3 linked regions of the Ovis aries genome follow. The protein of the gene in region 2 interacts with the protein of the main gene of each other region in a pairwise test. Links are inferred from orthologs where the notes say so. Each region holds a gene or a part of one and is shown on either strand. Other genes may lie near its edges.

The links.
Region 1: the proteins of SPRY2 (region 2) and PRKAB2 interact in binary tests that used the Homo sapiens proteins (3 or more experiments, as listed by UniProt). The link is inferred for Ovis aries from reciprocal best matches to the Homo sapiens genes SPRY2 and PRKAB2.
Region 3: the proteins of SPRY2 (region 2) and ZDHHC17 interact in binary tests that used the Homo sapiens proteins (3 or more experiments, as listed by UniProt). The link is inferred for Ovis aries from reciprocal best matches to the Homo sapiens genes SPRY2 and ZDHHC17.

The regions. Positions count from the first base shown.
Region 1 is NC_056054.1:98,147,381-98,151,038, forward strand, and holds part of PRKAB2 (5'-AMP-activated protein kinase subunit beta-2), read right to left. Parts: intron 2,201-3,658; coding exon 2,034-2,200; intron 1,207-2,033; coding exon 1,113-1,206; intron 897-1,112; coding exon 776-896; intron 1-775. UniProt on the Homo sapiens protein: Non-catalytic subunit of AMP-activated protein kinase (AMPK), an energy sensor protein kinase that plays a key role in regulating cellular energy metabolism.
Region 2 is NC_056063.1:55,940,252-55,943,395, reverse strand, and holds the end of SPRY2 (protein sprouty homolog 2), read left to right. Parts: intron 1-815; 5' UTR 816-866; coding exon 867-1,814; 3' UTR 1,815-2,638; downstream 2,639-3,144.
Region 3 is NC_056056.1:112,711,666-112,715,323, forward strand, and holds part of ZDHHC17 (palmitoyltransferase ZDHHC17), read left to right. Parts: intron 1-1,872; coding exon 1,873-1,937; intron 1,938-2,586; coding exon 2,587-2,749; intron 2,750-3,658. UniProt on the Homo sapiens protein: Palmitoyltransferase that catalyzes the addition of palmitate onto various protein substrates and is involved in a variety of cellular processes.

The sequences.
Region 1 (3,658 bases), on a different chromosome or scaffold from region 2:
AGTCTTTACTGTAAAGAAACAAAACTGGTCACTGTGAATGTGGACAGCAAATCGCTTTTCTGGTGTTACAGTCAATATAAGTAGAGATGAAGGCCTTGGAAAAAATACTGGGAGAAACAAAAGCATAGAGATCTATTCCTCTATTGAGGATTTTTTTTTTTTAACCCAAAACTTTAAAAATTTCAGTTAACATATACACAAAAGAAATTTGAGGTTTTTATAACTCTTTTTTCCCCAAAGACTGCCATATGGGTAGGGCCTATTAAATATACAACTGCCAACTAAGCTATCAATCTGGCGGGATTAAGTTGAGGCAGCTAAACATGGCACAGGAGACATAAGTAGCTCCTGCTAGTTGATACTGTCAAAGGTCAATGAAAAAACTGAAATATTATTAGAAATAGCTTTTTAAACTATAGATCACAGCACATTAGTCGTTTATAAAAAGAAGAATAAAGTAGAAAATAAAGTGCTTCACATGTAATAAAGGCAAACATCATAGTGCAAGACATGTTACTGGTTTGTGTGATGTGTGTGTTGGGTTACAATGTAAATTTAATGTAGATCAAATATATTTACTTTCACTTACTGTGAAATCAAACACATTACACAGATTTCATTCTCTGAGAATATGACCTAAATGTTTACAGGAGAAACATACATACAATTTGGAAGATTCCTAAGTCGAAAATGAAAAAAACAAAAACCACTCTTGGGAAGAAACATGCATTTTAAGAAAGGAAAGATCAAGAAAGAGCAAATACTACAAAATTACCTCGACAAGATGTCTCTGAGCTTTCCATTGAATCTAGCTTTAAAGCATCAAACACCTCAAAATCAGATTTCTTGACATGAATCAAATTGTTAATTGTGCCAAGCTGACTGGTAACCACAGGCTGAAACAGTGAATGGAAAAAAAAAAAAATTCATGAATCCCCATTTCAAATACATCTCATCCATTCAACTCTCCTCTTTTTAGAAGAGATTATACTTGACACCACCATCTTTTATCAACAGGGAAATCCAACAGCAATGATATCTGACACCCAGCGGAATAACAGCTAAAAGGAGACTGTTAAGCCAGTGGTTACCCTCGGAGGTCAAGGTCTTACCTCTGATGGATCGTGAACCCACTGTCCATCCACAAAAAACTTGTACTGGTGCTCTCCCTCAGGGAGGTCCAGGATGGCAACAAAGTCATTATGGCTACAGAAGAAAACAGAAAGTTAAACAGGCTAAATTCTTATTAGAAGACAGAAGATAAATGTAAAACCATGAGGCAATCACAGTATCATACCAGTGATCTCCCACATTCCTAAGTGATTGCACCCCCTGGAGTGAAAAATAATTTATAAACCCATTCTCCTTTTCTATATCCCCTTGAGCATGTATTTGCTATCCCTCCTAACAACTTTAATTTTTAACTAATATCTGAAAAAGAACAATAAAGATATTAATCCCCCAGAATGTTTCACTTTAGTACAACTATTTTGCTTCAGCAGAACAGATCCCTCAGGAGTGTAAAAAAGATAGCAAGTAGGTTCAGGATATGAAGTGCCTCAAGGTACTCTTTCCACATTTTGGTGAGCATTTTCTAGAAAATTACCTATATACAAAGGGCCATAGTCAGTTACATAACTCATTGTTGCTCTGCAAGCAACAAATAACATTACTACCTAGAACTTTACAACGTGTTTTGTTTTAGTGCAGAAGTCAGGGCAACTGGACTCAGGCAGTTACGGGAGACTTCCCACAAGCATAGAAAGGACTTCTATTAACACAATCCTAAAGAACATACCTCCAAAACTGTTGGAAGTCCCTCTGAGGCAATGACATTCTAAGTGGTAAAACATCTCTGACTCACTATAAGGTTAAAAAAAATGTCACAGATATAGTTACTGGTCACAAAAAATGTTCTAGAGAAAGTCCCTAGCAGGTGGAGAGGAGTAGTCCAGCCAAGTCTCTCTCCTGAGAAAGGGAATTGGGTCTCTACTCCTGGACCCAGCAGACTCAACCAAGACACTTGTCTTCACCTCTTAATCAGTGGAATCTTGGTGCTCCAATTGTTGAAGGACCCAGAGATGAAGACCTCCTTGCCTCCTTCAGACCAGCGGATAACAGTGGGCCGGGCCTGCTGTGTGGGCTTTACGGAGTCCTCCAAATCCTGCTGCCATGATACAAACTCTTTGTCCCCAGGGAGCTGTAAGAAGGATTAGGTCATCCCTAAATTGTGTCCCTGGAATTCTGAAAAGGTCACTCTCCTCCTTAGGGCAGAGAGGGGTGCTACATTTCTGATAAGGATTAATAAGTCTTGAAATGAGCAACTACTTCAAATTTTGAACAAAACTATAGAAAAGAAACTCATCTAGGACCCAAATGGTCAAATGGCTTATGCCCAAAGTCTGCCCAAATCACAGCTTAATTTCTGAGTCTGCATGAATCACTCATCCTTTCAGAGTCTTGGGATGTCCCTTAAAATACAAACAAACAAAAAATCTTACTTCCTGTCACCAGATTAACTCATAGGCAGACAATCATGATATGCTTATCTCTTAAGAGAAAAATATCAAAATAAAGCACAGTTCTACAAAAAATAATTAAGTTAGTCATCTATTTTTTTTCTTTTGCTGTGCCATGCAGCATGCAGGATCTTAGTTCCCCAACCAAGGATTCAAACCCTCACCCCTGCAGCGGAAGCACAGAGTTTTAATCACTGGACCACCAAGGAAGTCCTGAGCCATGTATTTTTCATATGTAAATATAAGCATCTCAATTATCAGTTGTAATAGAAATTAGAGATACTAAAATTCTTAAATAATTCATAATTTCCTCTTTAGTTAATAGGTTATAAAAAGACATTAAATACATAAAAATCAGATCACTGGTTTCCTAAATTTTGAGAAATAGTTATGAAATCTTACTTATTCATCCATGTCAGGCTTATACTAGTAATTTTCAGGAGTAGGGATGAAAATTGTGGAGCTACAAGAAGCATCGGATCAAAAACACAGTTTCCTTTAAAAAAGTGGTTCCCATATCAAATGAGGTATGTAGGGTTGCAGAAGAAAACTGACTCCTTAGTCAAGTTTATTTTCATTACCATCCTTTAGAACAGAAACTGGCAAACTATGGCCAGTGAGCCAGATGCTTTTATAAGTTTCATTGGAAAATAGCCACACTCATTCACTTTCTCATTTTCTATAGCTGCTTTCATGCTGCAATGGCAGAACTGAATATCAGTGACAGAGACTGTATGGTCTACCACAAAGTCTAAAATATTTACTATCTGGCCCTTTACAGAAAAAGCTTGTTGACCCACACTTTAGAGTGGCTTAAATGACTTTGGTAAATAAGTCTTTATGGTATCAAGCCAAAATATTATTAATACCAAATAAAATAATGTGGGATAAAAAAAAAAGACTATTCACTTGCGCTTTACTTTCAAAATGGCTGAGGCAGTCAACCTTCCATACTGTCTCTGAATATTCCTCAAAACTACAGTATAAGACGTTAGTGGCAACAAAATCCTTAGTAAACAATGAGAACTGAAGGAACTTTCACATTATATAAGGAAGTGACTTAAGAGAAAAACTTGATCTCCATTTTCTCAAAGCAATGAACTCATTTGACAGTCTGGATTAGAATTATAGAAATTTTT
Region 2 (3,144 bases):
AGGGAAAACGGGTCTTTTAGCTGCAGAATTTAAGGTGTTCTCCGAGGCTTTCAGGTTGTAAAACATGTGATTCTCAAGTTGTTGGAAAGTTGAAAATAAGTTCCTGTCTTTTTGTTGCTCGAGGTGTAAGTTTGCTCTATTGTATTCCTGGCACCTAACAGGATTTAAATTGATGTGTTTTCAATTCTATAACTTCGTGCTACTATATAGTTAATGATAATGCATGATTGTTGTATAAAGTGTATATTCCTGGGGAAGAGAAGTATTTACCCTTTTTTTGCATGTCATTTCATCCTATGAGATTTTGTAAAGTCACAGAATAGTTCAAGCTGTTTAATGTAAAAGCAGATGTTAAGTAGGAACCAAGAATTTCTAGGCTGTATCTATTGAAGTTCCAGGCAAAAATGACCATAAGTTGAAACCTATTTCACACTTTGAAAAGGTATTCATTCAGCTTTTGAAAATGTCAGTATGAATGTTATATTCCAAGAGTACTTTCCTGCAGTTTTTACAGGGAACTTGAACCTTGCAGATTTTGTGCTTATACGAGTAAGGAATCCTTACTCGTGATTGAAGCAAAGATCAGTTTGGTGTCACTACACTTCACAGGATTAAAGAACGGTGGATACCTAGCTGTAATTTTTACTTTCGGGTACAGGTGTGGATAAGACGGCCATCCTAATACGTTCCACAGCCACTCCATTTTCAAAGTCTGTTTCTCCAGGGAACGTGGGGAGTGAAGAGTTAAGCCAGGTGGGTGGAGAGTGGGTAGTATTCTGGAGTGTAAACTGTCTCCTTCCTCTTGGTTTCCGCAGGAATTCAGATGTGTTCTAAGCCTGCTGGAGTGACTACACTTCCCAGACCTGATGGAGGCCAGAGCTCAGAGTGGCAGCGGGTCGCAGCCGTTGCTGCAGACACCCCGTGACAGTGGCCGGCAGCGTGGGGAGCCTGACCCCAGGGACGCCCTCCCCCAGCAGGTACACGTGCTATCTCTGGATCAGATCAGGGCCATCCGGAACACGAATGAGTACACGGAGGGGCCCACTGTGCTCCCCAGAGCTGGGCTCAAGCCTGCTCCTCGCCCCACGACCCAGCACAAACACGAAAGACTCCACGGGCTGCCGGAGCCCCGCCAGCCCGCCCGGCCCCAGCACCCACCGGCCCACCCTTCAGCCAGGGCCCCTCTGGCCCGGTCCATCAGCACAGTCAGCTCGGGCTCTCGCAGCAGCACGAGGACAAGTACTAGCAGCAGTTCCTCCGAACAGAGGCTCCTAGGATCCTCCTTCTCCTCGGGGCCTCTGGCAGACAGGATCATCCGAGTGCAGCCCAAATCGGAGCTCAAGCCAGGTGAGCTGAAGCCACTGAGCAAGGAAGATGTAGGGCTGCACGCCTACAAGTGTGAGGACTGTGGCAAGTGCAAGTGCAAGGAGTGCACCTACCCGAGGCCTCTGCCGTCAGACTGGATCTGCGACAAGCAGTGCCTTTGCTCGGCCCAGAATGTGATCGACTACGGGACCTGCGTGTGCTGTGTGAAGGGTCTCTTCTATCACTGTTCCAACGACGATGAGGACAACTGTGCGGACAACCCGTGCTCTTGTAGCCAGTCACACTGTTGTACACGTTGGTCAGCCATGGGCGTCATGTCCCTCTTTCTGCCTTGCTTGTGGTGTTACCTGCCAGCCAAGGGTTGCCTTAAATTGTGCCAGGGGTGTTATGACCGGGTGAACAGGCCCGGATGCCGTTGTAAAAATTCAAACACAGTTTGCTGCAAAGTTCCCACTGTCCCACCCAGGAACTTTGAAAAACCAACATAGCATCATGAATCAGGAAGATTGCAGTCATAAGGATTATTTCCCTCTGCCCCTCTTTTTTTTTTTTTTTTTTTTTTAATACACATATGCAACCAACTAAACAGCTAGAATCTTGGCACTGTTGATAGAGGGTTGGGATATCCTGTGCTGTTTGCAGTGAAATGCTTTTTTCATCCATGTGCCATTTTAATTGATATGCTTGTTAGAACTCAGCTAGTGGAGCTCAGAGTGTGGAATACAGACCTTGGTGACCTACATGTTGCATAAGCTAAAGCAATAGACACTCTAGGTGAAGTTTTTGTTTGTGAATAGTACTTGCAAAATTTGTAAATTAGCAGATGACTTCCCCTCTCCCTTCCCCCACCCCCCGATTGTTTTCTCCAGAGATAATGTGCTATATTTTTGTATATACAATAATATTTGCAACTGTGAAAAACAAGTTGTGCCGTACTATACGGCACATTCACAAAATATTATACTAATATGTTGTACATTCGGAAGAATGTGAATCAATCAGTATGTTTTTAGATTGTATTTTGCCTTACAGAAAGCCTTTATTGTAAGACTCTGATTTCCCTTTGGACTTCATGTATATTGTACAGTTACAGTAAAATTCAACCTTTATTTTCTAATTTTTTTCAACATATTGTTTAGTGTAAAGAATATTTATTTGAAGTTTTATTATTTTATAAAGAAGAATATTTATTTTAAGAGGCATCTTACAGATTTTGCCCCTTTTATGAGGATGTGATAGTTGCTGCCAATGAGGGGTTACAGATGCATATGTTCAATATAAAATAGAAAATATATTAACGTTTGAAATTAAACTGAGCTGTATTGTCTTATTTTACATTTTCTTTTTTTTTTTCTTTTTTTTTGAAGTGAAAAAGAAACCATTTTAGAAATAGCATTTCAGTGACAGACATAGTTTCAGTTATCTGTGAGATACTCTTATGCTTGCTGCTTTAAAGTAAAGTGGAGATTTGGTGATTTTCAGGGGTAATTCTAGCAATCAGGAGAGAAATAATTGAGCACTTGACTCACTTAGTATTAATCATAGGAGGGCTCATTTTGGCTGCTCTTGTTTTGCTGATTTGCAGACTAGCCTTTGCTTTGCAGGTTTAAAAAAAAATCTTAAGTAATTCATTCAGGAGACTTACCTAAAAGATGAACCATTAGACTTTTTTTTAATATAAAGTTATTAAGAATGAATGTCAAGGCTGATTTAAGACCAGAGGAATGAATTTGGTTCAACATTTATTGACCAGTCTCTATGTTTCAGGCATGCAGTATACACAGATCAATGCTTATAATTGAGGCAAAATGTTTTCTT
Region 3 (3,658 bases), on a different chromosome or scaffold from region 2:
TGATAAGGCACAACATTTAACTATAGTTTTCATGAGACAGACTAAAATTAGTGATGTCCAAGGAGGATATGTTATCATTTGTCTCGGCTCTTTTTCTCTTTACCTCAATATATTTGGACGTTGGAGACATACTCCCATCAGTGAGAGTGGCTTGCAGAGAACTGCACGTAGAGTTATGAAGCGTTCTAACAGTGCACGCACTATGACTACGTTCTCTCCGCTGGGCGGTGGATTAGACAGCATATGTTGGATAACATCTGCAGGTTTGATGTAGTCCAGGAATAGGAGATGGGGACGGGATGAAGGGGAAACAATTTTTATTGAATGTCTGTTATAGGATTAGGTTGCCTTACACACATCATTCCATTTAATCATCAGGGATCTTATGAAGCCATTATTTGTATTCACATTTGTAGATGGGAAAGCTGAGGTTCAGAGAATTATAGTAATTTTGCCAATTTTACAGTTAGTAAGTGATGGAGCTAGGAATTCAAAATCATGTCTGTCTTGTTCTAACACCCATGCCTTTCCCAAGCCTAGAAGAGTAGATAGATAAACTTGTCTTTTCATTTAACAGATGGTTTTTGATTATTCTCCGTGCCCCGAAAAGTAGATACAAAGATGATTTTAAAACAATTTTGATCTTTAAAGAAGTCCTGTTCTAGTTAATGAGACAGATGCCTCAGGTACATAGCAGAATCAAGCCAAATTGATTGCTGGAGTGGGTCAAGAAAGAATTTTAGGGAAGTGAAATGAATAGAGTCTCTGATACATTAGCATGTCTTAAAAGAAGCTTTAGATAACTTGAGAAGAGTTTGGGTTGAATAGGTTGTAGTTTTAATTCTAATTTGCTAAAAAGAAAAAAAAAAATTAAGCAAAAGGGAGAAAAAAATAGAGTACCAAGGAAAGCAAAAAGCTGGGTAGGAGAGAAAAAGTAATCATGGTTTCTACATAACTTTGTTGGGAATAGTATTCATATATATTTATAATAATGTAAGCATCAAATATTTACAGAACCTGAATTATTATCTCTTCAGAGGAAGGACTAGGAAAGGTGCATGCCTGTGATGGGCCAGTGAGAAGAGAGAGAACATGCCATTTTACATGCTGAGGTTGTGTAAAATATGGATGTTGAGGATAATGCCTGAAACTGAAAAATCAAAAAGTGCCAATTCAGGTTTTTTATTTTAAGTATGTGGGAGTAAAAAGCACAATAAATAATGAGTTTTTAAAAAATGAAAATGGTAGGGACTAAGACAAAGGATTGCTTTATTACCTTGCTTTTTCACCACAGACTTTGTCTAGATAGTTAATTCTAAAAATATTTATGCATAGTGATATAGTGATAAGAAGCATTTTAAAACAAGGAACAAATTCAGTAAATTTTAGTAGATTCAGAACATTTGACTCTTTTAAAATTTATTGAATTTATTCTGTGTTTTAAAATGTCTAGAAATAAACAGGGTTTTATTATTCCCTCATATCATGAATTAATATAAATAAGTTTTTCAGAGACAGAAGTCATTTATTTAATCTGTCCATTGTGGGTGAAAGATCAAGGGTAGGTCAAGATCTTTAAAAGGCTGAGTGAAGCATCTTAAAAGAGAAAACTATAAATAGAAGTTAATTAAATATTAAATACATGTTTTTATTTATAAATAAGTAACACATATCCATATTAATTTGAATATTTAATATTAATAAATATTGAATAGTTTTACTTTAAAGTTAAGAAAGGAAAAGTTTCATAAATCAACCTTGACTGAGTGGTGTCCTCATGTCGGCTTCTTTTGTGATGTGTAAATTACGTTTTTCTAAGTACATGTGGTAGGGACTTAGACATTTTTACTGTCTGACTTTTTACTCTATCAGGATGTAGATATGATGGATCAGAATGGGATGACGCCTTTAATGTGGGCAGCTTATAGAACACATAGGTATGTAACCATTATGAAATACTTATTCAGATCATTTTCAGCATGATAAAATGTAAAACAAGTGATGAGAAAAAGCAATTAATGTTATACTTATTAGTATTTAAAATTCTTACCATGAATATGTAGTATATAACACAGATTATCCTTTTGGGTATTTTGAGTCTTTATGTTTACCTTTATGTTGGCAATTGTAGTGCCCTTAAGGTAGTCTTAAGCAGTTTCCAAGAATGGAAGATGCTACCTTCTTATTAAAAGTATAACTCATTTTTTATATGACTGGCATATTGGCAAGTTTAACATTAATAAGTTGCCTTAAATCATTTTTGGAACAATCTAGATTTAAATTTAAAATTTTAATTGTTTAAGTATTTAAATACTAATGACATTAACTCCATGATGTAGAATATAAACATTAGGACCAAGTGTGCTCTCTCTTGGAACTAGTTTACTTTACGTTCTGTGATGTAGAACATACTTAATTCTTCATGTTAAAAATGTTGTCTCATTACTCATTATAAAGTTGTCGAAAATAGGTTAGAATAGAAGTGTTCCAAGATGGAATATAACCACAATCAGTTTAGTGTCTGTAATGATTTCTATAATTGAAATTAGGGTTGTTGTTGTTGTTGTGTTTTTTTTTCCTTTTCAGTGTGGATCCAACTAGATTGCTTTTAACATTCAATGTTTCAGTTAACCTTGGTGACAAGTATCACAAAAACACTGCTCTGCATTGGGCAGTACTAGCAGGGAATACCACAGTCATTAGTCTTCTTCTGGAAGCTGGAGCTAATGTTGATGCCCAGAATATCAAGGTAAAAATAGCCTTTATTGATTGTGCTTTGTGAAATGTGATTACCAAGATTGGAATTCTTTAATAAAACTTAGGTTTTTTAATAGACTGTCAGAGGTGGAAGAAACTTACTTACTCTCAACCCTTTGCTTCCATGCAAGAATTTGTTTTGAAAAACTAATTTATTTATTTTCGTCTTTTAGTATTGAAGTATTTTTCAGATTTTGGTGACCTTTTCATTAGTGAATTCTTACTGACTTTTATCTCTTTATAGCTGAATAGATAGTTTTCTGATTTCTTTAAGAAGATTATTGCACTAAGATCCCACATGTGGCACCACGTAACCTAAGTAAATAATATCATTGCAGAGAATCACAGATTTTTATCCCAAGTATGCATAATAACTTTGAGTAATTTCTTGACTTGGTCATTAATTATCTTATTTTTATAAAGGTCAAGACCTTTACATTTGATAATCACCTCTGTGATATTTGTAGGAGAATTTCTCTCCCCTAAATGCTAGAGTAATCCAAGAAAAATGTACCCCCAAAATACAAAATGTTAACATTTACACTCTGAGCATTTTAGAAATTTATAGACATTTTTATGAATACCTGCAGGAAAATTCTGTTGATAATCTTAAATTTTGGTTAACCATTCTCAGTGTTAAAACTTGTCTTTTAGCAACAGACTTTTTCTGTGAAATGACTTTAAAATTTTAAACATCTTTTAATAATGTGCCTTCTTAAATAACTTTGTACTTATTAAGAAATGTTGTTTAATTTTGACTATAAGCCATAGTATTTTCTTAGTCATGCCTCTTAAATTTCTAAGGAATATATGCTATTTAAATATTAAAGGAATTTGAAATGCATAATAATCTAAAATGGCAATCAAAAAGTTGGTTATCTCCTGCTGGATCAGGGCATCT